Styela clava: one gene and its partner. The protein of the gene in region 1 purifies or fractionates together with the protein of each later gene. This does not show direct contact. Links are inferred from orthologs where the notes say so. Each region holds a gene or a part of one and is shown on either strand. Other genes may lie near its edges.

Region 1 (16,444 bases):
TACATGTTTATATAACTACTACCGGTGTCAGAGATTTGATAAGATATTTCTGCACATTCCGATCAAATCATCATCGTAATCATGACTTGAATACGACAGATCATGACAGATGATTGCGTGGCAGTGTGATAGATTATAGCGTTTAGCGAATTCGAGCCCTTCTTGCAACACTGACTCCAACCTATCGCAGGTCTGCCAATCCGATTCTTTGCAAGATATCACCGTACGAACGATTGAAATTTATGTTATTGCATGCGGCTCCGTTGGTAGTTTCAGAATGGAGAAAAGGTACATCGCGCCTCGCGCGCACAATTGACTGTGTTTCGATTTCAGTTACTACGATGAATACCCAAAGAAAACCTGACATAACACCAAGTATGGACATTTACAATGTCCAAAAGAGCGTTTTAAATCTGTCGGGAGTCTGCTGAAACAAAACTTATAGTGTTATCTTCCGTTTTAATTTTAATATTTCATAATGCCGCTTTTCAATCAAGAAATTTGAGTTGCGAATTCACCGCCGATTCTTTATTAATTATTTTTAGCATATCGTCGCCGATGACTATAATATATATTATATTAACATGTTTTTCACATCGAATTCATAATTCCCCACGAGAAAAAAAAAGCAATTATCGTCGCCATTGTGGAAAAATACATGTATATGCCGGAAGAAATTTTTGATTTAGGGAGAATAAACACAGACGTAAAGATGTTTAGGTTTGACGTTTCACGCTGACGAAAACAGTCGGCGATTGTAACAAAATGCAATCGCGCAGCGACTTTTTAGGTCTTCTAAAAATATCAAAAGAAAAAGATTTGACCCCTAATTTATTAATATGTTTGTCAAGTGTCAAATTTACAGCCTCAATAAATATGGTTCCATTACATTTGAACCCATGACAATTGCACCTGTATGCTATTGCACCTATGAAATTTTTTTTGTTTTTCGGATAGTTGAACCCATACTAACCTTAACCCATGGGTTTTAGCACCCGCATATAGATTAAACCCGTGGATATACACATGGGTTCAAATGTACGTGGGTTCAAATGTACGGTCACCAAATATCAAAAGAAAAAGATTTGACCCCTAATTTATTAATATGTTTGTCAAGTGTCAAATTTACAGCCTCAATATATATATACGGTAATTTATCTTTAAAATTTAGATTTATTTATGACTTGTATTAACCCGTTAAAAAAGGTTTAGCATTTAAATTAAGTAAAGTACTTTTAACTTACTCAGGAATATTAATCGGAAAGTAACAATTTTAAAATTTATTTTGGGGCTCCGTGAATAATAGTCAACCTCTTCACGGGCTCCGCAACACCAAAAGTTTGAGAACCCCTGGTCTAAAAGATAATACTGATAAAAGTAAACTACGCTGATATACAACCAGAAATTGAAAATGTAATGCACTACAGATAAATAATACAGTAATAACAACATGAAATTGAAACAAAAAAACAATATTTGTCACATTGCATTGTGACCATTGTGACGACCCTTGTTTTGCCTGTTAAATGACGTCATGTGATATCGTTTTGGTATTCTAGCAGTTTAGACGCTGCGACACGGTCGATCGGTTCTCGGGGGCAGCGTGGTCTGTTGGTGTATGCTGTGTGTGACAGAGTGGAGTCGTCTGAGTGTTTCGGTTAGATTGGTGGGTTTTGAATGTCTGTGTGAATGCGTCTGGTCTTCAGGGATGTTTGTCTGTGTTGTGTGACTGTCGGATGTTTTGTGCTGGACAGTGGGCTGACGTAGGGACCATGTTATTGATTTTACCAGTACAGTGCCATTACAGTTCATTTACCGTAGTGTTGTATTTTCAGTTTTATCGTGGAATTAGCTTTCATCAGTATTGTTCAAATGTTGTGCACCTATAGAATTGTTCATAGTCTTTTTAAATGCCTGTCATAAGTTACTTTCGGCCTGTTTTACAAATTGCAGTAGCTAGTTCATTGTACCAGATTCTAGGGGTCATTTGGTTTTTTATTCAGAGTTGTCTTGGATTTCAGGGTTGGTCAGTGTTTTTGTTGTGTATGTGGTCTTTCTTGCATTTTACTGCCTGGTATCTGTTATTTTTATTTTATGCTTTTCGTTCCTTTGGGGAGTGTTTGGTTGTTTTGGATCGTTTACTGTTCGAGTTGTCAATAAATGACATAAAATAGCATAAAGACTTGGACTATTGAGAGAAAACTTGACGTCAGATCATATTAGAAGATATTCTGAACTTGGATAATTATTTCATACATTGCCGGTACGCTACAATTTTTGGCGAGAGCACGCCAGGATATTTTCTATGAACTATGATTTTTTTTTCTATTACTTGGACTAATGGATGATATGTCAAGGCTCTGGTCAATAACGTGCCTGTTTTGTTTTTGATTGATACCGGTGCGGGTGTCTGGCTCATTGACACCGCTGTTTACTCGACGTTGCAGGAAGATTCGAACATTTCGGGGCTGCATCCTGTTCCAGTGCCACTCCGTACTGCCAGTTGCGAGTCATTTGTGTCTCACGGTGTACTTGATGTCAACCTGACGATTGAAAGCTGGTCTGTGGAGCATACAGTTGTGGTCGCCGATCCAGGGTCACGTGCGGGTGTCTCGCTCATAGACACCGCTGTTTACTTGACGTTGCGGAAAATTCGGTTCGGGTGTCTCGCTCATAGACACCGCTGTTTACTCGACGTTGCAGGAAATTCGGACATTTCAGAACTGTATTCTTTTCCAGTACCATTGCGTACTGCCAGTGGCGAGTCGTTAGTGTCTCATGGTGCACTTGATGTCAACCTGACGATTGAAAGCTGGCCTGTGGAGCATACCGTTGCCGTCGCCGATCTAGGGTCACGGATGGACTATCTTGGCAAATTCGTCGCATCGTTTTGTTCTTGAGGGACAGGATGTTAAGGTACAGCACCAAACAGCTTCTCCCTGCTGTCATGGGACTATAGTGAAGATGTGGTTATACCGGCCGCTCGGGAATGGTTGTTCTAGTTCAGCTACAACAGCCTTGGCCGTCCGGAGATCTAACATAGTAGCCATTGTTGAGCCAATGGAGATATGCAACATCAATTTGGTCGTTTCGATGACGTTGGTGGACTCAATCCCGAATGACAAACTTTACGGATGCTTAAGCGTGAGGGTAGACGGCCTGCATATTTTAAAGACATTTGTGGACATAATTTGGTTTTGACTACTGCTTTTCGTGTTTCAAATATTTTTTTTAGAGATGAAAACATTCTTTCATAATGTTCCATCTAGAAGAGGGGGGTAATGTGACGACCCTTGTTTTGCCTGTTAAATGACGTCATGTGATATCGTTTCCATATTTGGTATTCTAGCAGTTTAGACGCTGCGACACGGTCGATCGGTTCTCGGGGGCAGCGTGGTCTGTTGGTGTATGCTGTGTGTGACAGAGTGGAGTCGTCTGAGTGTTTCGGTTAGATTGGTGGGTTTTGAATGTCTGTGTGAATGCGTCTGGTCTTCAGGGATGTTTGTCTGTGTTGTGTGACTGTCGGATGTTTTGTGCTGGACAGTGGGCTGACGTAGGGACCATGTTATTGATTTTACCAGTACAGTGCCATTACAGTTCATTTACCGTAGTGTTGTATTTTCAGTTTTATCGTGGAATTAGCTTTCATCAGTATTGTTCAAATGTTGTGCACCTATAGAATTGTTCATAGTCTTTTTAAATGCCTGTCATAAGTTACTTTCGGCCTGTTTTACAAATTGCAGTAGCTAGTTCATTGTACCAGATTCTAGGGGTCATTTGGTTTTTTATTCAGAGTTGTCTTGGATTTCAGGGTTGGTCAGTGTTTTTGTTGTGTATGTGGTCTTTCTTGCATTTTACTGCCTGGTATCTGTTATTTTTATTTTATGCTTTTCGTTCCTTTGGGGAGTGTTTGGTTGTTTTGGATCGTTTACTGTTCGAGTTGTTAATAAATGACATAAAATAGCATAAAGACTTGGACTATTGAGAGAAAACTTGACGTCAGATCATATTAGAAGATATTCTGAACTTGGATAATTATTTCATACATTGCCGGTACGCTACACCATCAAATATAATAACTTTGAGGTTTGAAATGCGGCTCTGGGACTAAAAAAGTTTGAGAACCACTGGCCACTGATATAGACCATTACAGCAATACAGTAATAATACACAACCGTTAGCTTGTAAATCAGCAGTGCGGTACAAACTAGGACGGCTGAATAATCATATCGGTAATGTCATATGATTACCGTACCTATCTTTCCAACTACAGAACTAGGCCTACTTTACGATAATTGCCGTATATGATCTCTCATAAACAGCAGAATTTCATTAAATATCATTTGTACACGGAAATCACCAATAAAATCCATTATACCAACCTCGCATTTCTGCATTTATCGAGAAGGTTTAGTTGCCGTTCATCAATGTCAAAAAGTCGGAATTTATAGTCACTTTGCTACCATTGTGAAGCTAGTAGCGGGACTCGGAGTCGAAATTCTAAATTAATCGGAGGCGGAATTTCAGACATAATTATGATTTTATTTATTTTTTTTTTTGTTTTCTATCTTTTAAGTTTATAGCGTTTTTTTTACTTTATAATATCTCTGTGGTTGCGAGTGGTACATGTGAGTGTGTGTGAATTCATTTATTAATTTCAGGTTAGTGAACACGTACCTTTTCTTGGCTCGGCGGTGTGGCGCATTGTGCTAAGCGTTAGGAATACGCTCGCCACCGCATTTCTGATTACTCTTCGTGGGATCGCAGGTTCGAATCCCATGCGGGAATGATCATGTGCGAGAGGATTGCTGGATTCCTCGCCGCCGTAGGGTGGTTCACGTAACCGCTGGTCGGTTACGGCTTCCTCCACCATCAAGTCCATGCTTCCGAAAACAGAACGAGAGGCCGTGGTTCGTCATATGATTAAGCCGTCTTATCGACTTTCCTATCCCCCGGGATAAATATGTAAATCCTATCCTATCCTCCTTGGCAAAACTTTCCATCCTATATCTGTATGTTTTAAACCTAATCTGAGGTTTGGTTTGCTCTTCTGATTTCATGATCAATATTCATTTATTTGTTTTTCCGTAAATATATACCATTGTTGCTGTTATGCTGATTATGGCGTCGGATAAACTTATATTAAGACCGTCTTATCGGTTTCCTTCCCCCCGGGACAAATATGCAAATGTTAACTTATCCCAATACTCGTCATAATGAAGATAAAAGTTACGGAAAGTGTAAATATAGATAAGAATATTTTTTTTAACCTCAGTTATTATATAATGACCAGATCGTTGAAACACCTTCAAAAAAAAAATAATATTATTGTAATATTTTGCATTGGCGAGGTGAGGTCAAGGGTCGGGAAATAACCATTGTTGCAGCATGGCTATTAGCTGCAGTTAGTTGCGTAATCTTTTCATTGTATACTTATTCATTGTATGAAATCACCTAAATAACATCACAAAAATAAAATAAAATTTGGACCTCATGCAATAATATTGAAATATATATTTGATTATTTGGATATACCAAAACTATCATTTGTATAAATCCGATTTGGCAATGGATTTGAATTTGGCAAAAAAAAAAAGTTGGGACCTCATATGCTTATGTATGTATATGTCTGCTGACTGACGCATGTAGAATAGGGATATAACATACGGTAACTCGCGTAATTGAGTGGAGTAGGTAGGCTATTACATGTTTCAAGCGGACGAAACACTGCAACATGAAATATTCAATTACAGAATTGCTGAATTGTGAGTTATGATAAAGTTCTGAACTTATAGAATCTGAATGAGTGAATTGTTATCGAACAGTCTGACAGTCGAACTGAATGTTGAAGTGTAGAAGTGACAATTGGCGTAAGTTGGACAAAAAATGAGGATGGACACTTGTCACTCTCCCGTAAGCTAGCCGAGGGCCACACTTACTGAAATGCCTTGATAATACTTAAATATCTGAATATTGGGTCTCGTGTATTTTCGTACCTTTTTCGTAACGTACTTCTAGTGGGAGTAGCATAACAATTTTTTGATATGTCAATCCTAACCCCCATCTGACTACGCCATCCAAAAATTACGTCACTACGAGATCACAATCCCGTCATAGACTGAGCTTGCCAAATATACGTACAATCGCCCGAAATGGCATTGGCGCCGACGCTAAAGAACAGAAGAACTGACCGACGTTATCGATCTCTCTCTTATTGGAATCGTTGCGACGAGTTCATATAGTTTGAAGGGCTCTATTACTTTCAGACTTCACTGTGACGTGGTAATGATGTAATTTTTGGATGGTGTAGTCAGGTGGGGGTTAGGATTGATACGTGAAAAAATTGTCATGCTACGCCCACTAGAAGTATGTTAGGTAGGAACTACATGAGACCCTGAATATCAATGATATAGTGTTCTAAATAACTTATAGTTTAAATTCACTATAGAATCAACAATTATCAGTCAAATAATTCATCATAATTTTTTCTTTTCAAATTCCATAATGCTATCAATGCAAAAAGGCACCCCACTCAGTCGCCTATTACTCAAACAAAATGTTCTTCTCTAAATCATTGCTTGTTACAGTTTTAAGATTTTGATCAATTTATCACTTGCAGTAATATTGTATGTCTCTTTATTTCAATTGATATTATTGTTACCATTTTTTTTATTACTTGTGTCGGTACAATACTTCATGCACGATGGAAATAGAATATCTGAATATGAATCTGTCAAAGTAACATCTATATTTAATTTATTGCATGCATGTCCCATATCACTGTATCAGTTAGGCAGTACAGCAGTAAAGAACTAAAGAAATGTCTCCTACCAAATTTCATCTTATTTATTTTCATATATCTAAATATTCAGATATTGGGGATATTTTTGGAATCTGTGAATTTGCTATTCTGTTGTTCATCAGTTCTAGGTTTGTTATTTAGACTATAATTACAGGATTAACCTGTATTATGTTTCTAACATTCCTCACTCGGACTTGTTGCAATAAATCTCAATTATTACACAAATCAGTTACATGTTGTGGCATTATCAGACATGCTGTTCAATTGTCTACGTCTTCGATTATGAAAGGAGAGAAGATTCACCATAAAGATCTTTTTGATTATTTCAAGTTTGCTTATGGACGTTTAAATATAGAATCTAGCTCAAAGACAAAATGGCCACCTTCATTATTAGAGTTTTTTGGGAGCAATCCTAAGGTTGCGATTCATAAATTGGAAAATTTGAACAATGATATTGATAATCTGTACGGTGTTCATGATAATTTAAAAGAAGTTGAATCTTTTGTATCTGAAGCATTAACTGAAGCTAAATCTGATGAAAAAGATGATTTAATTAAAATTGCAGAAGATGAAAAAGAAGAACTTTTGAAAGAAATAGAGTCATGTAATGAAATAATTGTGTCGAAGCTTTTTGAAATAATGCACGGTGATAATCAAGTTTCCAACGCAGTTCTCGAAGTGTCAGCGGGCGTTGGGGGTCAAGAAGCCATGCTTTTTGCATCAGAATTACTCGAAATGTATCAATCTTTTTGTATAAGATTTGGACATGATTTTGAAATTTTAAATGTCGAGTATACTGATATTGGAGGATTGAAGAAGTCTTCAGCAAATATAAATTTTATAGATAGAAATATGTATCAATTGTTTAAGAATGAGATTGGTACCCATAGGGTACAACGTGTGCCAGAGACAGAAAAAGCTGGACGAATACACACCAGTACAGCATCCGTCGCTTTACTTCCAGTTTTTAGCAATCGAACTGAAACACTTGATGAAAAAGATGTGGAGGTTCAACGTTTTAAACGCTCTAATTCTTCAGGTGGTCAACACGCAAATAAAACTGAATCCGCAATTCGATTAAAACATATTAAAACTGGAAAGATTGTTGAATGTAATGCTACAAGATCTCAACATGATAATAAGGATCGTGCTATGCAAATGCTAGAAGCTATATTAGCATCAGAAAAACATAGTATGCAACAAAGTGCTCTCACTAAAGCTCGTCAACAGCAGGTCAAAAATCGGGAGCGTTCCGATAAAATTAGGACTTATAATTATCATCAAGATCGTGTGACTGATCATAGAATTGGCTTCACTACCCATGGAATTGCAAAGTTTCTTAATGGTGAAACAACTTTGCTTAATTTGATGGAAAAATTAAACAGTAAAACTCAATTGGAAGAATTAAATATTACAAGTAAAATTTTGCTTGATGAAGGACAATTGTTTTTTAATGACAAGAAAGTCAAATCAGCTGTTTCAAAGTAACTATGATCTGATTATGATTGATAGGCTACCGGAAACGATAATTAGTTTTAAAAATGTTGTTGTTAACTTATATTATTATACAGGTACAATCAAATATTTTTTTTTAGTGAACTTGACTTGGCTGCAAATGAATCAGTGGCAGAACCTATTACCTACAGGTTATTACATTACCTAGTGAGTTGCTGATTGCAACTTGAGTTTGTTAAATTATCTACATATTTGACAGGCTACATTTGGCAGGCTACATTTGGTAGGCTACATATTTGGATTATACCTTTTATTAATTGGCTATAAATCTATATTTGGTATAAGAATGCTCTTTATATTGTTTCATGGTGTGAAAATGATGGCAGTTCTATCGAGAGATGTCACTGGGCAGTATTGCAGGCATTTTATTGCAGTATTTAAACTAAATGTGATAAATGTATTGACATTGACCATCCTATTAAAAAAATATTGTTTCTCAGTGTCTCTTTCCGATTGCTAAACATGGCTTTTATAGTCGAAAAGCGTGTTTTTTATAAACAACTGATTGTGAACTCTTGATAATTGAGCATGAAATTTAGCATCTTTTTTTGATATTTTTAAATGCCAATTTTTTGCTATTGTTCACATGTTCCAAGTTCTTTATTACGAATTAGTCAAATATTTATTAATGTCCATAATATTCTAAAATATATTTATGTTTTTTTCATATTTGACTTTTAGTCATAATTTTAAATTTACCTGTTTGAAAAGCCCAAAATGGCTGTGGCTCCTGCTTCAATCGAGGCTGAATTTGCCAGACGGTTAGCTGGAAACGATAAAAGATGTAGGGATAAAGCTCTGAAGAAATTAAGACAGTTTCTCAATCTCAGATCGGCAAAAACAGATGGTGGATTCACGAGGTGTGTATGTTTTTTGTCGTTACATTGTTTTTATCTCAGGCAGAGAATAATAAAAATTAATTCGGTGATGAACAACTTGGTATAATTTACTGTAGATAAAAAAGTTTGATTTTTTTTTCGGGGCTCACTATTCCTAATAATGATAGATTACAATCTATGTGTCTCAATATTACCTACAGTTAAATATTCTGTGATGTTGCAAGTTTTGCACAAATATGCTATGTATTGTTAAATCAGGATTGTAAATAAAATCCTATCCCTATCCATAGCCTTATTATTTTGGCATTGAAAGTTTGAATATTTCGACTCCACTCCTGATTGTTCTAAAAGGCTCTCCATCACCGTGGCTATATTTAACTGGGAGGTTTGAGGTCGTTTTGGCAAATTTAAAATTCCTAATTGTCCAGAGCCTTGTATTGAGTGAATAGGGAGTGATCGTCTAAAACAGAATTTCCCAAACTTTTTGGGCCGCGGAGTGGCGAGGACCCCTGTTTGTGAATCCTAGGTTCACGCCACTTCACGGACCCCCATCCTGAGCCTTATCAATTTCTCTGACTAACCAACGAGGAAAGATAACACAGTGTACAGTACTCTGCATGTATTTTGTCATCATATTGGTAAGAGCTGAAAATGCTGAAAGATTGATCAGACTCTTCATATCCTTGTGGACCCTGTGTGCAGTCATTACGAACCCTCAGGGATCCGCGGACCCCAGTTTGGGAACCCTGATCTGAAGAGTCATAGCCTACTCACTTTATGTTGAGTGGTGTAAAAAAATATTATATTAAACTATGGATATGCGATTTTATTTCATAGAATTGAGATGCTGAGTATCTGGAAAGGATTATTTTACTGCATGTGGATGTCTGATAAACCTCTTGTACAAGAAGATCTTGCAAATAAAATATCAGATCTTTTGCCAGGGTATGTCCATATTCAAATACTGTTAGTCTGTGATACTCCCTAAGTTTTCTTAATGATTTATTTTAATTATTCTTACACCATTTTACAGAAATTTTATTTTGTAATTTTTATAAAATTTCATGACATGTGTTACCTACATCCTGTCTTACGGTAAATGAGTTTGTTTTAAATTTTGTAACATATTTCATTCTGGTTTCAGGCTTTCCAATATAAAAACAGCGATGTTATTTTTTGATACATTTCTTGAAACCATGCAACGTGAATGGAAGGGAATAGATAGACTTCGGATGGATAAATTCTATCTGTTAGTTCGATGCGTCTTGCGAAAAGCTTTTGAGTTTTTAAAAACTCGAAGTTGGGATGCTGGAAACGTAGATTGGCTTCTAGCTATCCTGAAAAATGGACCGATTTGTCCAACAAAACCTGTATCTGGTATGCAGTACCACTTCAGTGACATATATCTGGAAGAATTATCAAAAATATGCAAAGACGAACTAGATTCTCAAATGGTAAGATTTAGTATTTTATTTGTTCAGTCAGGAAGTATGTTTGCCGTCGCATCGCTGATTATTCTGCGTGGGTTCACAGGTACAATCTTGTGGGGGATAATTATGTGCGAGAGGATTACTGAGCTCCTCGCCACCACCATAGGGTGATTCCCATAACAACTTAGTGTCTACGGCCTCCTCCACCATCAAGTCCATGCATCTGAAACAAATACCTGGCTAACTAATCCCATACCCGACATGGATCAATACATAATGCAAGGATTGAGTATACCACAAAATACAACGTCCTATGATAAATGCTTGCCAAATTTGGCATGTTGATGGGCGCTCCAGAAGTGTGTGTACCAATATGGAGGTAACTAATTTTGCTCCTCTATTTTACATCAAGTTGTGTAAAGGGACTTAACCCTATGGGCAGGGGGTATATTCACTTGGCTAACACAGACAGTTCATGAACTCGTAATAGAACTGAAATAGGGAAAATCTGAATAAAAGTATGACCTAACCCTAACCTGGTACCCTCGCTGTGGGAGTAACTGTTGATGCAACAAATGGAATAAACCTACATTGCTTTTTCAAATTTAGGTGTTGAGGTTTTTAGATCCATACTGTATCATTGTGGCAAGTGCAAAGAATTATGACATTGTCAATGCAGTTGCAACCAACGTCTTCCAGGTTTGTGATGTTGATTTTATGTTACATAATAGGATTCGGTGTAACATATTTATCATATGGGAGGGAAATGCATAGAAAAGCTTGATCATATTGTGAACTGCCTCTGCGTAATATCTCACTCTGAGAAATATCGGATGTGGTGCTCTTTTCTGAGCTAGACAAATTTTTAATGAATCAAACTGGGTCCACGGAACCCTGGCGGTCTGTGATGATTGCACAGGGGGTCCGCAACATCTATTCGATCTTCAATGATTGATTTCAATCAAAAAGCCATTGCATCTTTTTGGTTGAGCGTTGTGAACGAATATCCATTGCTGTCAAAAAAGGCAATTACAATTTGATTGTCTTTTGCAACGACCTACATGTTTGAGGCAGCATTTTCAGCTCTTACATATATGATGGCAAAATAATGAAACATTATTCTTCCTCGTTGATTAGACAAAGAAACTGATACGACATTGGATGGAGGTCCGTTAAAACTAAGATTCACAAATAGGGGTCTGCGGCCCAAAAAGTTTGGAAACCCTGTTCTATCTGACTAATTTTTCTTCATATTATTGACCTCTTTGTTATCTTATCTTTCTAGGAACTCATTGATAATTCTAAGCCCGCTCTTGAGTTGCTCGCAGAGGAAGAAGTTTCTATAAATGTTAAAGGTCATACTCAAACAGAAAGTTACGATTCGTCACCAATTACAGCATTGAATGTTGATTATTCCGGACTTGCTGATCGTTTATTTGAACTGGCAAGTCAAGATGGTGTGTTAGCAAGAAATAGAAAAAAGGTAATGCTTTTCGGTGTAGGATGTAGAGATTGCTATTCTTGCTACTATTTGCAGTGACATGCGAAGGAAAGATTCAACACCTTGGTTAACGTAACATGGTAAAAAAACAGAATATACAATAAAAACTACTTTTCGTGAGAAAGCGCATGTGAGAAAGCTGCATACCTGTACATATCTGGTGGGTTTGGTAATACAATAAGCAAGATGGCCCATTCGGGCTGAATTCACATCTAGCTGTGACTCCAAACTCTAAGTTTTAAGAAAGACTCCAGTTTGAAAAAAGTTCAAATTGTGGTAAATTTTGACATCTGGCCCGTCGACTAGAAAAGTTGCCAACCCCTGATCTAGAGTGGGGGCACTGTTGCGCTGATTTCAGGTTTGTTCACAACGTGAAAAAATCGGGATTAGTGCAACATCCCTCATCTCAAATCTTAGAAGTTTAAACCATCCCCGGCTTCCAACTTCAGGAAAACCATACTTTGGCCATAGGCCCTTTTTTATTGTCTGCTGGGAAGGCTTTTTCAATATCTGTTATGAAAGTTTAAAAGTACGATTTCAGCTCAATATTTGTGAAAGTTTTCCTAACTGAGCAGTGCACAATCTTTTACAGTATAGTGAATTGGTGGGGAAATGGTGTTTATTATAACAGGCATTCAAACTGTAACATGCAACACCATCACATTTGAACTTTCATTCAAATCGCAGTCAATTAATCAATGATTTATGTCCACATAGCTGAAGAGTGTTCTTAGTTGGCATGTACTTGATTTTTCAATATGATATGTTGGTTTATTTAGGTCTTTCGAATGGTAGAGAAGTTTCGAGAGCTTGCTCAAGGCCGCGTTCCGCTTAGCGATATTCCAGATGCAGAATATTCATCTGAAGATGAAGTTAAAATGTTGGAAGAAGACTTAGCTAATAAAATCATATCTGAGAGCGGGAAAGAAATGGAAGACAAACGAGAATATCGGAAAACAAAAAGGCGAAAACGAAAAAGACAAATCGAGGATGGTGTAAATAGTGATGATGATTTAATGGTCCCAACGGTAAGCTGTGTGCATTAGGGCTATGGATGCTCATACAGGAGTCTTTATTTGTATTATGTATGGAGTTATGCCAATGGTACAAAATGCGGCACTCCAGAAGTGCGTGTACCAATAATCAATATGGGGGAACTAATTTTGTTCGCCTACTTTGCATCAAGTTGTGTAAAGGGACTGAAACTAAAATGAGGAAAATCTGAATAAAATTATGGCCTAACCCTAACCTGGTACACACACTACGGGAGTACCCAGTATGCATGGCATGCCTGCTAGAGGTATTTGACTTCGGAAAGCAACACAATTTTTTTTACATCTTTCTTATTTTGAAAAAGTCTTTTCAAGTAGAGAAAACATGTTTGAAAATATTTTGTAATTAATTATAGCTTTATAAAGAAACTATTTTCAAATAATAATTGAAATTTTTCGGTTTCACAGGCTATAGATGTAAAGGAAGATATTGATGCCAACACCAGTGAAAGTCTTGAAGATTTTGTGGATTCATCTGAAAATGTTGATACCAATAATAATCAATCATCTATAAATGGTACGGTAACTGTGGATAACTAGAAATTTATCAATATATTTTACAAAAATCAATACTGTACTTCTTGAAATGGATGTTTACACTGAGCATCAGGAGAATGTCTAATCATCAGTAACTTAACACTTATCGTACGTAATAATTACAATTTCCAAGGATATTTATAAACATTATTTATTCTTTTTTTGCTGCTAAAAATGATAATATTTAAATATAAATATTTTGTGTGGGTAAAGTACAGGATGAATTTTAGTGTGGTCAAACGTCAGGGAAACTTACATTGAGGCACTATTTGCAGTTAATATTAAGTTATCTAGATATCTGCCACCCATAGAAAAGCTTTTTTTTATCTCTTCTGTTGACTTTTGTGCAAACCATGATATATGACAGTAATCAAATTTTTCCTGCTACTCTTTAAAAATGATTTGAGCCAAATTTATAGACATTTTCAATTGCAATTTGACTGGTTAAAAATACAAATGGGAAAGTGATTTTCCCTGTGGTTTGAACTGCAAGTTCTGTGTTTTACATTAGCATCTGTGAGATATTTACTTTATCTAATATTTACTGATAATTATTATCAGGTTTAATGCATGAGTAAGTGCCATCTTGTGAAGTATCAGTTCCATTTTCATAGTGATCCCATGCGGGGATGGTTATGTGCGAGAGGATTGCTGGACTCTTTTCCGCCGAACGGTGGTTCATGTAACCGCTGGTCGGTTACGGCCTCCTCCACCATCAGGTTCATGCTTCGAAAACAAATGGCTAACTAATCCCATACCGACATGGAATAGTAAGCGGACGAGAGGCCGTGGTTCGCCATATGGTTAAGTCGTCTTATCAGCTTTCCTATCTCCGGGGATAAATATGTAAATCCTATCCACATATACTCTGCTCCGCGTTTTTTTGTAGAGCTACCGTAATTCCCTACTGACTCACCTACTTTATTTAAATCCTCCTTATTTCAGTCAATTCTACCAAGAAAAAGAAGAAGAAAAAAAAGATTGAACAAAAAACAATCATCATTGGTTCAAATCTTGGGAAAGAAAGTAGCAGCAGCACTTCTGAGCAAGACGTCAATAGTACAGTATCAGAACTTCTTCCAAAAAAGAAAAAGGACAAGAAAAAGGCAAAGATGCTAACTGAAGCGAAAGAAATTTCCAAAACTGAGCCCCAACCTTCCGAAAACATCCCAGATATATTACAAGATATTCAAGAATGTAAACAAGCTTTAGTGAAAAAGTTGAAGCGCAAAGACAAATTGAAATCCAAAAAACAGTTAAAGGTGTGGTTGGATTCTGCAACTCACAATTCACAAGATCAAGAATCCGTAAATGATAGCGTAAAACAGGATAATCCGACTATCGTATGCTCAACAGATGTAGATGGTCATGCCACTAAAGATAACCTTGAATCGTTAAGTAACAATGTTCAAAAACCAAGTACTGCCAAATCTGACAATCATGAAAAACCAGCGTTAAGGAAGCGCAAAAAAAAGAGGAAAAGCTTATTCAAGCCAGAAGTCGTGAATGAAACTGATCCCAATCTATCAACTAACAGCAATGAAATTAGTAATGAAAATGATATCATTGCGAAAAGTCCATCAGTAACAAATTCGAAAAAGAAAAAGCAGAAAAGTGAAGCTCTGGAAGAAGCACCTGAAAGTGACATAAATACATCGGAAACAAAAGTGCCGAAAAAGAAAAATAAGTCCAATGATGCTATTACTGAAGGAGAAAAATTTGCACAAATATCAAATACCAACTCTGTGCCTGCGATATCAACCTTCTTTAAAGTTGCAGCGTCAAAAGTCGATAAGGCGAAGAAAAACAAACACAATGTTGCAGTAAAGAGGAAAATACAGGAACCAGTTGCAGCACATTCACCAAAGAGAGTAGTTTTCGAAATGTCTAAAACACAGGTATGTTACTCATACAGAAAATATGTTTTCATGTGTGTGAGTACCCAAGCGCTCACTTTGTTTTATATTTGGATATTTAGATTGATGTAGCTACACCCACTTTATCTCGAAAATGTCGTGTCACCCTCGTCCCACTTTGCCCTGCCCTGGACAAGTGGGACACAACATTTTTGATACACACCCATAATAGGACTTTCTGTTGCAATGAAGTGCAACCTTGCCGTAAAAGTAAATCATTTGATTGTCTATTTATAAGTTTGTGTTAGTTGCAATTTCTGTGATTGCATATTCATTCTTACTTTTTAATTTATTTCAGATTCAACCATTTAGAAAGTTTGACAAGTCTACTGCTGTTAGCACATCACCTGGTAATGTTGCTTTTGATCCCAGGAAAACTCCAGATTTTGGATTGTTGAAAAAAGGAAGGAATCAAAAAAGAAAAAGTGCTGCTGATTTCTTTTAGTGACTAATAAATACAAGCCTTTCCCCTATTTTTGTATGCTCAGTGTTTGTAATTTAGGCTACATTTTTGCTATAGCGGCGGGATAATAAAGCAGATGTTGAAGTTGGGTGGCATGAAAAAAGGAATATGAATAGAGCTTTCGCCTGCGCACACGCAACAACATGTCACCTCTACAGGAAATGAATCTGATTATTCGAATCTGCAGGGCCATTTGCTTTGCCTGTCATCAAATGCGCTTAGTTTAGAAAAATGTCCAATAGCGGTGCAGCAACAGTCTTCTACACCTAATAAGTTAATTTAGACTCCAAATTCAGCATAATTGTCAACAATAAAACTAGAATTCGGTTGGAAACCGAAGACTTATCGATCGGAGGTTAGGGGATCCACCAAAACAGTGGTCTTACTCC
Region 2 (16,848 bases), on another chromosome or scaffold:
TGTAGGCTTTTAGCACTCATGGTCCCACTGTTTGTCTTTCCAGTGGTGTTTAGAGTGTTATTTGATTGGTAGACTGCCAATCCCATGGATCTTTCCCCGAGCATCGTTTTCCTTGTTTACTTCGTGACATTGGCCAATCAGCAAGATGCAAAAAGTAACGTAACAATGCCCCTTTTTCGCATCCGCTCAGACACTTTTCTCACTCAGACAGATTTTCAAGTGTGGTTGTGAACATTACCTCGTTTTCGCTTTTCTGAACTCTATTCGTTAGTTTTCAGTTGTGTTTCGGAAACTTAAATATAAATCAGATAATTCAATGATCACTCTGTCTTCCTAGGAGTTTAATTGCAGTAATAAAAATTAGGCTGTGATAGACTAGCCTGAAATTCTTTACCGGTACTTTCAAAAAACAGATTGTTGTATGCGATGAATCATAATGATGGTTTGCAACACATACCCCATTTTACAGGCGCCAACTCGCAAAAGCGCTCTTAAAATAGCCACGAAAATTTTGCAATGGTAAAGTATAGGAAGAATTTTTCGGGGGTCAAAGGTTGGGGAAAGGTCCATTATGTTCAAACAATTTATGCTCAACAAAGTGAAAACACCTTGTGAAATAGAAGAACGAGGAGTTTTTCTGTAAAGGGAAATGTGGAATCAGTTAGGCGCCTGGCATTGGGGCCCCCTCCAACCACTCTGAGAACCCCCCTTGATAGGCTACGGGTCCCCGGTTGGGAACCGCTGTCATACCGATTTACTCGGAGACAGACGACATAACTGCCGCTCCATTTCTTGGGCATTGGACATTCAAATAGTTAAGAGTTATGCGCAAATCGTACTCCTGTTTTTGCACAGTTTAAGTCTTATAGTAATAATATAAATATATTTTCTGCATCTGTTATACTTTACGACGGCTATCTAGTAGTCTAAAGCAGGGGTGTGCAAGCTTTTTTATTGGCCAAATACAAGTAACTGGGTGAAGCCGCGGGCCGCACCTTTATTTAATTTAGGCTTTCTGGTAGTTGCAAGCACAAAAATTGCTTATATTTGCTATTGATCTTACGGCATTATTAGGGTTTCTTGCAGAAATAGTAGATTTAAAGCGCATAAACTTCTGAAGAAACTGCTATTTAAATTTTTTGTCACACCGACTTCAAACGAATGCAGTGAGAAACACGTTTTTGTAATATAAATCGTGTATTTTGCCACAGAATTTTGCTAGTTTGTTTTGCTAATATGACTGGTATGGGCTTTGCGACGATAAAGAATAAATACTCGTTTTGCGGGTACACCATTCGAAATTGTTATTTCTCCGCGGGCCGCACAACTTCTTCTTGCGGGCCGCATTCGGCTCGCGGGCCGCAGTTTGCACACCCCTGGTCTAAAGCGAAGCTGTCGTTAATTGTAGAATACGTTTGACCGTTATCTGCAAGTTAGACGCCTGACAATCAATTATTTTGATTGGTAGAATTACAAATTCCATTATGATAAAACAATTTATGCACAGGAAGGCGAAAACACCCGGTTACATACCGCACATGGTGCCCAAAATCGGCGAGGACACGAAAAGTTCGCTACCACAAGGTACAATATATCGCTTAGACTGGGTTTTATTCATACGTACAGCGCATAGGGCTACAAGGCGCAACTTTTAAAGCAATGTCGGTTTCAAGTGTAGGCGATGAAGCACTACCTGATTCATACATTTTCTTGCAAGGTTAGCATTGTTACAGGAACAAGAGAGCTACGCCCAAATATATGGACACGTCTGTTCGCAGTACAGTACGGTTCACCGTACCGTCGATCACAGTCTACAAATATATTCACACCAAGCGAAGCAGTACAGTAGGACACAAAACGGCGTCCGATGTCCGCAGAACGTTTAATGACGTCATAGCAAACAAAAACAAATCTCACAGAGCTAACAGAAATATTTAAAATGAATAAAAGTAATAGCCTTCTGGGGGAAAATTTTATCTTCAACAACTGAAAATTTCAAAGCAATTGGTGCAGTATTCGAAGAGAAAAGCGTTTTTTTAATATTTCCACTATGTGTGTTATTCTGTGTTAAACAACAAGAACAACATAATATTGAAACGATCGTTATGTCCACTACGTGTCCAATAAACAAGGAAATCGATGTTCGGAAAAATACGTAGTATTTTCAGGCAGCCCAGCAGAATAAAACAAACCCAGACAAGGAACATGCTCATAATATGAATATATTTCACTTCGATATGAAACTTCAAGAAATTGTGAAAATTCTATATACTACAAAAGTGCCGACTTATGCTTCATGCTATTTGCATTTTGTTTAAAAGGCTTCTTCCATATGCTCTTCTTAAGGAAGACTTATTGTCTTGGCCAAATAAGTTTTGTGTGTGTAACTGCATATTGTAGCCAACGTACAAATACAACAAAGTGACAAATAGCATCATCGGTACCTGTCTGTTTATTTTAAGGGGAGGGCTTATATTAAAATCATTTTTTCAAAAGTCAGGCTAAGTCTTATTTTCGAGGAAACACGGTAGGTACCGCCTGTTTAAATGAAATTATTCTGGCCAGTCACGCCTCATTTCTTATTCTAAAATTATTAAACACACGATAATAATAAATGACTTTCCTACAAAAGTTATAAAAAAGTGTAATTTTATCATTTATTAAATTACTGCCATGTAAACTGCAAAAAGTAAAATAATAAATGTCTTCACGATATAATTTGTCATAATGCAGTGGTTCCCAACCTCGCGGCCCCTGCTGGAGGCTTTTAGCACTCGTGGTCCCACTGTTTGTCATTCCAGTAGTATTTATAGTGTTATTTGATTGGTAGATTCCGAATCCCGTTATGTTCAAACAATTCATGCTCAACAAAAAAAAAACATCCTGTGAAATAACCTTGTCAAGCAATGAAATTAGGAAGAACAGGGGAGTTAACTCGTAAAGGAAAAATCAGTTTTGCGCCTAGCATTGTGGCCCTCCTTCAACCACTTTGTGGCCCCTTTGATGGGCCACGGGACCCCGGTTGGGAATTGCTGTCACAAGAAGATTGTTGATATTGAAAAATCCATTATTCCTAATACATTTCAAAATAATATGTTCAAATATATTCTAATTTGTGTTCAACAGAAGAAATTTGCAAAAGTCCAAATCTATGAAACTTTGTGGAGATTTGAATTTTGTTAAAGCAGCGGAATTTTATTTTTGTGTCGATTGTCGTAAGCTAAGCAACAAATAATAAATTTTGCTCGAAAATCTTGTGAATGTTCCAATAGGATAAAATTCAATGATCCCTAATGGATATTTCATAAAAACAACACCTATGTATGTTCGAAATCATTATTTCCAGATGGAAAAAGGAAGACCTAAATATAAATACTTAAAACTAGGGTATGGTGGCTCTAGTATAGTAGATACTAAAGTTCAACAGAGGAATTTGCATTTTAAGATGTTCATAGAGTTCCACTTGCAAAAGCAGCACAGTTGAGGTTAGCAATGGATTATCAGACATCAAATTTTACTTGGAAACTTTGAAAGTTCGAAAATGAAATTCAATGAACTCTAATGGATGAATATTTCATAAGTACATCGCCAGTATGTTAGAAACCATTACTCTTGATAGAAAACAAAGACACAGAATACCAACTTCTCCTCCCCAACAGTGTATGGTGACCCTAGCGTCGTAAATATCACATATTAAAGTCAATATAATGTTTAACAGAATTAATAATACAAATAAAAGTAATCTCAGGTAGACCTAGCTATTTATTGAGAACCCAGTAAATTAAAACAGCTTTGCCAATAGTATGATTAGCCAATTTGAATTATCTTGTTTGTAGGGAATATACTCCGAGCATGGGGATGTGCACTCACTCAGAAATAAAGAAGACTTCATGAACAAAAATTTTTCTAAATGAATTTGACCATTTTTACCCAAAAAATTCAATGAAATTTCACAAAACGCAACTCAAAATATTATAATTCCTTTGCGAAAGTGAAGTTAACCTATTCAAGCAGCAATTTTGAATACAATATTTTTTTGATGAACCTATCCCCCCCCCCCCTCTGTGCTTTGGTGTCCCTCTGGTTTTATTCCAACCAATTTGAAATATAAAAAAACAAACAAGTAATAATAAGCAGCATTTTGAAATACAATTTTTTTTATTAGCCTACCCCCCCCCCCCCCAATCCCCCCATGTTTCAACTGCAACCAATGTAAAATATTCGAAATTAAAAGAAGCATTTTTAGTAGAAATTTTTTTTCATTAGCCAGCCCCCCAATTCCCCCCCCCCTCTGTGTTTTGATTTTAAGTGCGGACTTTCCTATTGTCTGAGAACATGCTCCTAACTGTGTAAACTTGCAGAGAAAGAACAACTAACATCACGATGATGTTCAACGCGGACCAGAAGTTAACGCGCTCAAAATTTCGCTCAGCGATTCCTCGATCTTTGGCCTCAAACGCTCGTAATAAGCCTTGAAGTTGAGACGTCTTTCCGAGGTTCGATCGGATCACATTCATGGTGTCCTGGAAAAAGAGAAATTTGAATTAAAATGATTTACAGGCATATTATAACTAGGGGTACTACTGAAGTATGCGTACCAAGACAGCGGATACCGGAATGTAGTATGTGTACCATGTTAGGATGAGGCCATAATTCTATTCCTATATTCCTTACTTTAATTCTATTACAAAATCGGGACTAGCCAAGTGACTTCCGTAGTATTTGTACCAGAAATTATGGCTTAACCCTAACCTGGTACACATACTACGTTCCAGTGTCCGCCAGTCTCAAACAAAAAACTACAAATTATGTATGTTCCAATCACAGACATGCATAATGACATGACGAATTTACCGATGCTACCTCCAAAGATTGGAGCTTGTCGCCGTATTGTTCATCTGGTTCGACAGCGTCTTTCCAGCCCCCATCCTCTTCTTCTTCCTCCCCGGCAGAATCTTCAATGATCTCGAAAAATACGGTTTTCCCCGTCATACGACTGAATGAGTTGTCGAAACAGACAACGTAGTCGCCTTCAACTGTCGGGTCCACACTGAAAAAAAAATGAAAACATTTTGATAGGAACTTTTCATGATAACAAATCTTATCAAATGCACAAGGGTTTCTCCATGTTTTTGGAGTTCTACAGAAAAGGTTGGAAACCACTGTCCAGTGGCCTTTTCAGGAATAATAGTCATTTCATATCAGTACAGAGCCTTGTTTCCAAAAGAAAAACCTACGCTAACAAATATGGAATTGATAAGGATGTCTGTATCAGTTATACTCAAATGTAGTTATATCCGGCACAGTAAAATTTTTTGTTATGAATACCTTTCACACTTTAATCTGTACAAACATGCACCGACTATGGGTACTCCCGTAGTATGTGAACCAAGATGGCGGATACCAAAACGTAGCATGTGTACCAGGTTAGGGTTAGGCAATAATTTCAGGTACAAATACTACAGGAGTCACTTGGCTAGTCTCCGAACTCGCAATAGAGCTGAAATATGGAATAAAATTATGGCCTAACCTGGTACACATACTACGTATTGGTGTCTTCTGTCATCTTGGTTCGCACACTACAGCAGTACCCCCAACTATATGTGGAGCTAAAGGATATTATCTTTCCCGTTCAGCATTTAAGCAATAATTTCAAACATACCATTTCAAAATTTATGAAGATCCTTATTCAATGGAACTTACGTGTGTATCCCGTCCGTCTTTCTCATATCGCTGACAACAACCCGGCCATCCGGTGCTTGAATCATAAAGTTGATGTCGAGATCTCCCCCGTCTATGACCTGGAAAGAAAACAAAATTGCTCAAATAACGAATTTCACTCCAATTGGGGCTTTAGAAAGCGACCACTGAGATAAAAGAAATAATAAACCATCAGTAGCTAAAACATGATTGTAAAGATTGCTATCTTTGCGATTTAACTTTATATAACTATTTCATTGCACTTGTAGGGTCTAGTATAGTTTAGTACCACAAGTACTTCCAGTGGGCGCAGCATAACGAATTATATTATTCCTAACATGACTATATCATCCAAAAATTCGGCACTACGATGTCACAATCACGTCATATAGCTTGCCAATGTATAGCTACGATCGCCCGAAACAGCATCTACGCCGACCGTAACAAACTCTCAAACACAGGCTGTCTCTCTCATATCGGGACCGTTGCGACGAGAAAAATAGCTTGCTCGATTTCGGGTGATCGTAGGCGCGTTTCAGACGACCATTTGTACACTTTGGAGGTCTTGAATATGCCACTGTGACGTAATAGTGACATAATTTTTTGGTAAAGTAGTCAGGTGGGGGTTGGAATGACATATGAAAAAATTGTCGAGCCAGGCCGATTAGAAGTAGGCTATATGTGGTACTAAACTATACCAGACCCCACTAGTATTTTTCAACACTTTTGTTGGAGTGGGATCTGAATGAAACATTTAGGAAGCTCGATTGATTCCTGTGCAGTAGCTCATCGAATAAAAGCATCATTCAATCATCATTATTTGAGTGAGTTGTCAGATAAGCGAAATTCGATTTGTTGACTGTTTTTTGCTAAGAACATCCAATTTTTTTTTTTTCTGCAAATTAAATTATTTTCTTCTGAAATCCTATAATGCCGTTTTTAGATTACGATTCTTTGGTTACTGCGCAGCTTCATTTTATTCTGTACTGATATCGCACTACTAAGACATGCTATCTGCTGATCTGGGAAAGAATCAGCATTTATCCTCTTTAAAATTCGACAATATTGCTCAATTCTGCAATTTGTTAAACGTTGCATACTCCGATACTGTTGTTCCCCAACATCAAGAAAAATATCTGTAACTAGTTAACCATTACAACGAGAATATCGGTCAGAGACCGAAGACTTATCAATCGAAAGTTAGGGGATCCCCCAAAACAGCGCTCTTACTCCATAGTGACACCTTGTGTCCCATCACTAATTAATTATTAACTCGCTAATTATACAACATAATTCATCCAAAATCAATAGGCTCCTAGTACGACATATGATGAATGCACATGCAAAATCTGGAGCAGATTCAATCTCGCTTTCATGAGATACCGGTATCGCTTGCATCTAACAGACAAACAAATACCTATCAACATACTTACCGATTAAATTCGATAAGTAATAATGATTAACACTGTTTTCGGCTTTCACCTCCCAGGATAAATACAAAAATAACATCCTATTGCTATCAACAAACCTGAAATTCAATGTCCATTGCACGTCCTGCTTTGGTTGTTTCATAAAAGCATTCTCGTTTCATCGGCGAAATTTGAACGGTAAAGTCGACATCCCGGTACCCGAATGATCCTGCTACAATTACAGACAAATAGAAAACCAATTTGATAAACATTTTGTCTATTTCGTCTCAACTTCAAACAGAAAAAACTCCAATCTATGCTGAACGCCGGCGTACGGGAAGCAAACGACACGAAATGCGGAAATGAGAGCGTAGGGTCAGGGGTTAAAGTTGAATTCTAGTCGTGGCAACCGCCTCGATACCCTTTTTCAAGATCTTCAAATTATCGTATATTTCTTGCGCTGTATTTTAATTTAAGATCTGGTATTACTTTTATGAATGTAATATGTTTATCTTGTGGACAAGATCTGCCACAAATCCCCTTCAAAAAATTTTATTGATTAGGGATCTCAAAACTGGGGGTCCCGACCACGCATCAATTCCCGCCATACCGGTGGGTCGCGAAATGACATAATGGTGGTCGCGGTAAAGAGATTTCAACACCAACTATATTAAAACAAAATATCGATTCAATGTGAAAGATTGATACGTATATTCGTCAAAATTTGATCTTTTGTGTGAGAATATGCGAGCATCGATCATATTGAATGTATCGTCAATTTTATTTTTATTTTTCAATGGTTTCTGTTTTATCAAATTTTAATTTTAGTACCTAAGGTCACAAAAAAAATTGGCCGTGCGAAGTGAGTCATTTGGAAAAAAAGTTTGAAAGAACATGGGTATGGATAAAGTGGACGTTTCGGATGTGTACGCTCGTGCGATAGGTATTATTTTAATTTTTTATCTACGAAATGAAACCATGGCTCGTTTTATTATTTTTCTGTTGTTATTATTAATTTTCTTGTTACTTTATGAAAAAATCGCTTTTCTCATTCACTAATGGACCTTGACTTTGAAATTATCATTATTACGATATAATAAGTTATACTTATACGATATTTTTCAGTTGTTTATTATTGCTATAATCCTATTTTACACGATTACAGGATTAGGATCAATTGGAGATTGAATAAATGAAATGCTCTTTATGTATATTGAGGTAGAAATAAAGAGCACGATATCGGAATTCAACGGAAAAGGTTGGGAACCACTGGACCATACAAATCCAATCAACGAAAGCAAGAAAAACCAGACTCCGTACACCACCGATAGAATCGCACGTTTGTCGCGAGTTGCTTTGTTGATTAGAATTCGTGTTTTCTAGTTTCTTTCCAGCAGATATCAGCAGAAAATCATCATGACTACGCTTCCTATGAACCCGAAACCATTCATAAATTCATTGACTGGAAAACCTGTCATCGTGAAACTGAAATGGGGAATGGAATATAAAGGATATCTCGTGTCTGTGGACGGGTAAGAACTGATTTATTTAGTTAACAGGATAAATCGGGCCTTGCCAAATAAAAGCTCAGATTTTATTTTACCCTGGAAGATAGGGAAACCGTTAGGACAGATAATCCTGTAATAATTGATGCGATGGCAAGCGTATCCATGGCTTTCAAAATGATGCATCAAACATAGCCGTTTCTTCACAACTTTTACCTTAAAAAATTAAAGTATGGCACAGTTCTACGATTCCAAGAATAACCTCCAACATTTAAAGACATCATTTAAAATAGTGACTGCAAACCTCTGGCACCTCTATATCACCACAAACTGGAATTACGCAATAAATTAAATGGAAGTGGAATCTAAAAAAATTGGAATCCACAGAAAAAAGCGCGGCGATGTGGCTCAACGGGTTAAGCGTTAGGAATACGGTCGCCACCACACTTCTAATTACTCTGCGTGGGTTCGCAGGTTCGAATCCCATGCAGAGATGGTTATGTGCGAGAGGATTGCTGGACTCCTCGCCGTCATTGGGTGGATCACGTAACCGCTGGTCGGTTACGGCTTCCTCCACCACCAAGTCCATGCTTCCGAAAACAAACAATATATCTAATCCCATACCCAACTTGGAATGGTAACCGGACGAGAGGCCGTGGCTCGCCATATGGATAAGCCGTCTTATCGGCTTTCCTCTCCCCCGGGATAAATATGTAAATCCTATCCTAATTTAATTTACCAAAGAAAAAAAAATTAGTTTAACATAGAATTCAAGAGTTTGTCGTCACGATTGGTTTATACTATTATCGCAACGAACATGAAACAATCTTACGCAACTGGCATTGTACGAGATGCCCTTATTTCAGAGACAAAGCGGGTATTTGTTTTATTGAACCAAATCTTGGAATCGTAGAACTTTGTTTCACTGCAATGTGCCAGTCGCTGAGCTGAGTGGTAGCAGTTTGTCATATGATTTTGTTGTCTCATCAAAATTCCTCTTTGAGATAAATATAAAAATGTCATATCTCAGTTGAAAACTTCAAATAATTTTTAAGTCTGGTTCCCCCTTTTCATGTAACAACTAACTGATTGTGGCTGGATTTCAGCCAATTTGACCGTTTTTTTTCTCCTGGATAAATCTTATCTCAAGTTAAAACTTTAAACAATATTCCAGGTATATGAACATGCAACTGGCAAACACAGAAGAATATGTTGACGGGGCTTTATCAGGACATCTCGGAGAAATATTGATTCGTTGTAATAACGTACTTTACATCCGGGGAGTAGAAGAAGATGATGAAGAAGGAGAAATGAAAGAATAATCCTCCCCGGGAATTCCTTTCTATACTGAAGACTTCCAAACCTAGATACAACACTTTTTTTTTTTTCGAAAAGAATCATTAAATTTTGAGCTTTTGGGACTTAGTTGAATGTCCGAATGTTTTATCTAATCATAAACTTCTCTGCCATTATGGCTTTTCTCGAGATCATTCATCCTCACGCCTTAGATTTTGTTCCAGAGTGAGAATTGATACCTTTTAACTTAATAAGTATGCCTAATGCTTTCAGAAATCTGCAGCATTAAGCTTGGACTTTTTATATTTTTCCCACTGGTTTGGTGATCGCATCTACGATGGTTTTTACATGGGTCATTATATCGAATTTCAATAATGGAAACATTGTCATATGTGTTATGTGAGCTGTTAAAAATGCTTAGTAAAATTGCTTTCGTCTTTTAAATTTTGTTTTTGACTTTTTGACTTGTTCTGATTTAAAGCATTTGACCTTATTACGACAATATATTTGAAAATGTGCTTAGGAATTCTTATTGGCCACCCTTGGTTTAAATTCATTTTCTAAACTAATTTCAACAGATTTTGCAAATTCACTCATTTTAAAATGTATTATGAATTGCAGATTATTCTTTTTGACCACCCTTGGTACAAATATCATTTCCTAAATTAATTCCCACAGGTTTTTTGAATTCACTGAATATAGATTGATTTTTATGTGTTCCTTGTTCAACATCATAATTCAGAATGTAATTGGTAAAGAATACTATTGGGTTTTGACCATTCATCAGTTTGTAACATTCTCTAACTAATCTAAATTATTAGATATCATTTCTTTTTTCCTGTCTAAAGCTCTGATGAGAGTAGAAATGTTCAACGGGGAGGAAATTCCTAAAATTCTTGTTTTTGGGACCAAAATCATAATGTATCTGGTATGACAGATTAAAAAAAGTTGATTTTTTTGGCAACCCCTGGGTTTAAGTAAGCCTTTGTTAAATAAAGCGTTTTCACCCAGTTGTTTGTATTTGGCGCTCTTTTTAAAGGTTGCACATCCCTGGTTTAAATAATATTTTTAAACTAATTCATTGACTTATTTGTGTTTTGGGCTGAGAATTCTGGCAACCCAGAAATTTTATTTTAAAATGTATTTGGAATAATAGTTTATTCATTTCATCATTTTTGCGTTTATTCTGTCCAACTTTTTTTCTAACTTTTAGACTTTAAATAATATTTTAGAAAATGGTTTTCTATACCTGCAGTGGCTGTGGAGAATCTTTAAAAAAAAACAAAGTCGAAAAACATGTTTATACTTGCCGCGGATGCGAATATTTAACCTGCATTGATTGTAGTTGTGATTTTTACGGCGACGATTACAAAAACCACACTTCGTGCATCACCGAAGATCAAAAATATTCTGCTAAAGGTACGGAATTTAAACCAAATAAAGGTGACGTTAAGCAACAAAAATGGCTTGATAATATTGACTCGATTCTGTCGGATTCTAACTCAAATTTGAGCTCAAAAGCGAAACAACTTATTGAAAATCTAAAAAACTACGATAATATTCCAAGAAAACGCCCAAAATTCCTCAATTTTTTGAAAAATAGTTTGAGAATGTATGATTCGAAACTTGGGGAGGAAATTTGGTCGGCTTTTTCTGCAGCAAACGGAAAAAATGATGTCAAAAATTGTAAAGGGGAGTCAAATGGGGATTCCCGGGAAGAAGAGGGTGTTAAAATAAAGGAAGTTGAAAAAACTGCTGAATCAGCAAAAAATGATTCCGAAATTGTCAATAAAAAAGATAAAAAAAAGAAAAAACTGAAATTGGATGAAAACGTTTCAAATAATCTTGAAAAAGATGAAATTTCAGCAGAAAAACCCAAGAAAAAAAAGACTTTGAAACATAAAAGAGAATTGAAAGACAAAAATGAGAGTTCAGTGAATATCTCGTTAAATGAAGACAATGAAAATGCTGGAAAAGAATGCGAAAACTCTCGTAAAATAAAGAAGAGAAAACTGGACACCACTGAAAATTCTGGAAAATCTAAGAAAAAGAAGAAAGATATAAGGAATTGTAAAGAAAACAATAAAATAGGAAAAACTGAAATTCAGAAAACCGATGAAAATAGTGGGAAGGATGAAATTATAATGAAAAGTGCTGATAATTTGGTGCTAAATCACGAAGAAAATGCTGCTATACTGAAGAAAAAAAAGAAGAAATCTAAAAAAGGCAGAAACGGACTCAAAAATGCTGATAATGGGATTACTGATGAAAGTTTGATAAAAATTGACAATTCGGAATTAAAAAATGTGGGAGTTGACTCGAAAATAAAGAAAAAACACAAAAAGAAAAAAATTAAAACCGAAGTTGATTGAGAAATATTTCTTTCTGCTCCTCCCTGCTTATTACCCACCAGCTATTTGCTCCGAGCAAAGCAATGGACAAGGCGAGTTCTCCGTACTTAGGGGCAAATTTTGAAAACAATATTGATTAAAAATTTTACATAGACATAATTGGTTTTTAGACTGGAAATCAACCATGGTTTGATCAGCAATATTTACCGAACTATTTTAAATAAAAGTTGAAAAAAAGTTGATGTTTTTTTCATATATTCTCAAAACAGTTATTTTCAATTTTTGGCTTCTTGGATTAAAGGCTTTGTATTGCTTATTGTGCTGGATCCAGTAATATTTCCTCTTTGAGTAGAGCTCTAAAGAAGAAGAAAAAATGATATATAATTCAGACTAGAGAATATTACCAATTACTAATTTTTTAAATAAACTTACCGGTACTAATAAATGGCCAAAACCTTATGATCCACTGTACTGAATTATAGGGCCATGTTTAAACAAAGAACACATAGAAGCCCATGTATCTACTGTTTCAAATGCCTTGAGGTAGAATTTACATATTTATCTTTTTTTTTGGGGGGGGGGGGGTGGTAAGGCAGCTTATTTGTGTGGGAAACCACGCCTCTCGTCCAGTTATCAGTCTATGTCGGGTATGGGATAACTTGACCAGGTATATGCTTCAGATTCATGGACTTGATGGTGGAAGAAACCGTAACTGACCGGCGGCGAGAAGTCTAGGACTTCTTTCGCAAATAATTAACATTTTATGTTGACAATATACTCAAAACGAAGGTGATGCTATTTAATGCGATATCTGTACTTGTTCACCATTAACTGTTCCCAATTTGGAGATATGGCGGAAAGTGATACACGTAGCGTGTATCTTACATCCAGCCTACTTCAATATTTTGTTTTTGTAGTTGTCAATATTAAAAACTTGGCCTCACATAAATACGATGTCGGAAAAGGTAACAAAAACTATCAATGTCTGTAAAGCTCCTGTAGCTATGGCTGGGTATTGATTGATGTTTGTTTAGCCATAACAAATTTTATTACAAAATATGCTACCGTAAAAGCGCCTAACTTCGGACAGTCCCTAACTTCGGACAAAATTTTTGAACGGCCATATCTTGGCTAAAACGCGCCGTATATTGCTAATTTTAATTATTATAGGTTGTGCTGTTATATCTACATCTATTCTCATCTTTTTTAATGTTGCATAATTATTTTTTTGGTAAAAAAACGGAAATTTTGCCGAAAATTGACTGCCCGGCATTCAACGGCGCAGAGCGTCGCTCCTACTGAAGCTATCGTCGTCAAAATACCATCATTCGGTAGAGGGCGACAACAATGTATATAATTTATTTGAGTGATCGCAAGATGTCGTACGAGATTTAAATAAAATCTAAAATTCTGAATTATAAATTCCGTAAGAATATTAAGATTTCACGCAGCGTCAAAAATTACGTCAACCTCACGTAGATTATTTTTCGCTCACCTACGAAACGACGTCACACTGCGTCGCGGAAATGAATTTTGACGCCAGACACAACGGAGCCAATATGACAATTTCCGTTAAGATAAAGACGGCGTTCCAACGTAATATTTTTGTATTTTGTTCGGTCATGTATGAATATATGCCAAAATTACATTAATGAAAATACATGTCACACTTAATCGATGACGTTAAAAATCGAATATATAAAACTATGATAATTCCAACGTCCATATGGCACAGTGCACTGCACTTAACCATTATTTTATGATTAGTAGTCGAAATGACAGTTATTGAATACGGCCTGGGTGAATTTTATTCAATCGAAATTAAAAATAAATTTAATCTCCAACAAATAAACGGGACCTACATGTTTACAAGATTAAGTTGAATTTTAAATTAAACTTTACAATCGGATTTACCGTGTGTTTGATATAAATTATCATTTATAAAGATAACCGCGCAGAATAAAAAAAAGCTATCTGTCGAGAATATTAATACTTCAAAGACTTCGATAGAAGCCCGTTAAAATACTTCATTGTGGATTGAAACGGTTTGTATCAGATATATTTACGTATGCATTTCCTGATTAAAATGACTAACGTGTTATTATACTCATCTGAAGTATCGAAAATAACGAACGAAAGATGTAAACATAGGACCACGGAAGTTTCAAATAATGCATTTTCGTCGTGACGTCAATGTTACGTTACGACGACGATCGAGCGTCTTATCTTCACGCAACGACGTGATTACCTCATCCGCATCGGAAGCCTCTTTCTCTCTGTGCGTCGCGGTTACGCAGTGAAGAAAATGACTGTCCGAAGTTAGGGCAGTGAAGGATAACGGTCAAATGGCAAGAAATATCGATTATTTCAATAGTAAAAATAGTCCAATTGAACCGAAATTTGCAGGGAATGTAAATTACCGCACGAATGTTTTACCGAGCGCCGTTTTGGCGCCGTTTGGACAATAAATGGCCGAGTTATTGACGAAAATATAGTAATTTTGTCCGAAGTTAGGCGCTTTTACGGTACCCTTGTGATTATAGAATTAACACTGACTAGGTATGACCATATATATATTATATACACAAAATTCGATAAGATAACTCATTCATGGATTCTATGTCAACCCATTCGTATAGTTCGCCCTTATTTGTTTCAGATGCCCTTAATTGTGAATAAAGCCGTAGCCGACTTTAGATCCGTATTTAGCCGTTGCCCAAGGATGCTTGAACTAGATACAGCGATAAGTAAGAATAACATAATCTCTTTTAACGATTGTACACCGTGCTAAGCGTTAGGAATACTCTCGCCACCGCACAAGTGGTTCCTAACCATTGTTCAAGCGACCCGAATTTTTTGAAAAATAAATTTAGAGAAATCTCGTAACCCAAGGATATGCTCAAATACCAGACGGTATGTAATGCTTATACCTTAAATCAGGGGTTCCCAAACTTTATTGCTCACGGGCCAAAATCAGAACGGGAAGCATGTTTGCGGGCCAGAAGAGTGTAGCGCCCGTAAGTGTACGACGGTTTAGCTGGGGCTCAGTGGATTCACTTTCATTTGACATTTTTTTAAAACTTGTTTGTTTGACTCATAATTGCGCTTGATGTTGTATTCCTTCAGAACTGGAATAGTTCGTTGGCAAAGAAGACAAATCGCTAAAGTTTGATTTGACATCTCTAAGATTTCTTAAATGGCTCATAACTAAATTACTCCCTATGTAATCCTAATACCGGTACGTATAATTGAAATGCCGGTGTAATTGAATTGTGACGATAAACACGTGCTTAAACTGTGATAATGACATAACAATTATCGGTATCTAGATCGCAAAAAGTAGAAACAAATTCTGTTGAACACTATTTCACTTAAGCTCGGCGGATCATTTTAAATCGTCACGCGGGCCGGATTTGACCCGCGGTTTGGGAACCCGTCTTAAATGGCTCGGCGGTGTGGCGCATCGTGCTAAGCGTTAGGAACATGCTCGCCACCGCATCTCTGATTACCTTTCGTGGGATCGCAGGTTCGAATCCCATGCGGGGATGATTATGTGCGAGAGGATTGCTGGACTCCTCGCCGCCGTAGGGTGGTTCACGTAACCTCTGGTCGGTTACGGTTTCTTCCACCATCAAGTCCATGCTTCCGAAAACAAACTGGACTGGTAACCGGACGAGAGGCCGTGGTTCGCCATAAGATTAAGCCGTCTTATCGGCTTTCCTCTCTCTTAGGTTAAATATGTAAATCCTATCCTATCCTATGGGGTTACAAAATTACCTGACTGACTAATAACAGCGAATGCCAAGTTTCTACGCTGGGACACTTCACACATACACGATTACTATTGAGCAAGACTTCAATACTAAATAAACGGTACTCTCGAAGTATGTGAACCAAGATGGCGGACAACGGAATGTAGTATGTGTACCAGGTTGGGTGTATGCCATAATTTTAAGTACAAATACTACGGGAGTCGATTGGCTATTCACCGAACTCGTAATAGAACTAAAATTGGAATACAATTATGGCCTAACCTGGTACACATACTACGTTCCGTTGTCCGCCATATTGGTTCACGTACTTTGGAAGTACCGAATAAACAATAAATTTACTAGGAAATAAAAGCAGTGATTTTAAGGGTTTTGTTGAATAAACAAACGACCTTCGAAATTTCTGGGTCGTGACCTATGGGTGGAGAAACTCTGGTCTATCCTCTTCAGACGAAACCAGGTATGAATGAATCAAACAGTCAAATTATCGCGTCTAAAGCAATTTAGAATTATTGCCCGATTTTAAGAGAGCCAATTAAACAGCGGATGGACTCAAAGTACAGCGGTCACTTTTGTTTGTTTAGGGCGGTCGTGTCAAGGTTTACGTTTATCGATTCGCAGGTTAATTAAAAGACAGTAATTTGACTTTAAAAATATGGGACCTATTTAGAGGAGAAGATAGCGGTGGGAAAGGTTATATTGATTCAGTCATTTGAATGGAGCCTTCTGTAGAGAGCGATTAGGCTGCCGTATAGACCAGGGTGGTCCAAACCCAGGCCCGCGGGCCACATGTGTATGTTACAGTATGTTATTGATG

What was found.
Region 2: the proteins of uncharacterized protein LOC120329709 (region 1) and uncharacterized protein LOC120344534 purify together in Homo sapiens (co-immunoprecipitation; 3 studies listed by IntAct, with this or other methods). This does not show direct contact. The link is inferred for Styela clava from reciprocal best matches to the Homo sapiens genes RRP1B and LYAR.

The regions. Positions count from the first base shown.
Region 1 is NC_135261.1:8,613,414-8,629,857, reverse strand, and holds uncharacterized protein LOC120329709, read left to right. Parts: upstream 1-8,974; 5' UTR 8,975-9,034; coding exon 9,035-9,177; intron 9,178-9,993; coding exon 9,994-10,101; intron 10,102-10,300; coding exon 10,301-10,610; intron 10,611-11,195; coding exon 11,196-11,285; intron 11,286-11,871; coding exon 11,872-12,069; intron 12,070-12,866; coding exon 12,867-13,115; intron 13,116-13,547; coding exon 13,548-13,656; intron 13,657-14,621; coding exon 14,622-15,574; intron 15,575-15,890; coding exon 15,891-16,037; 3' UTR 16,038-16,065; downstream 16,066-16,444. Other genes in the region: peptide chain release factor 1-like, read left to right, coding at 6,971-8,290. UniProt on the Homo sapiens protein: Positively regulates DNA damage-induced apoptosis by acting as a transcriptional coactivator of proapoptotic target genes of the transcriptional activator E2F1.
Region 2 is NC_135254.1:1,073,931-1,090,778, reverse strand, and holds uncharacterized protein LOC120344534, read left to right. Parts: upstream 1-10,448; 5' UTR 10,449-11,145; coding exon 11,146-12,282; 3' UTR 12,283-12,817; downstream 12,818-16,848. Other genes in the region: transmembrane emp24 domain-containing protein 5-like, read right to left, coding at 4,305-4,523, 4,855-5,050, 5,704-5,801, 7,229-7,381; small nuclear ribonucleoprotein F-like, read left to right, coding at 8,526-8,641, 9,789-9,936. UniProt on the Homo sapiens protein: Plays a role in the maintenance of the appropriate processing of 47S/45S pre-rRNA to 32S/30S pre-rRNAs and their subsequent processing to produce 18S and 28S rRNAs. Also acts at the level of transcription regulation.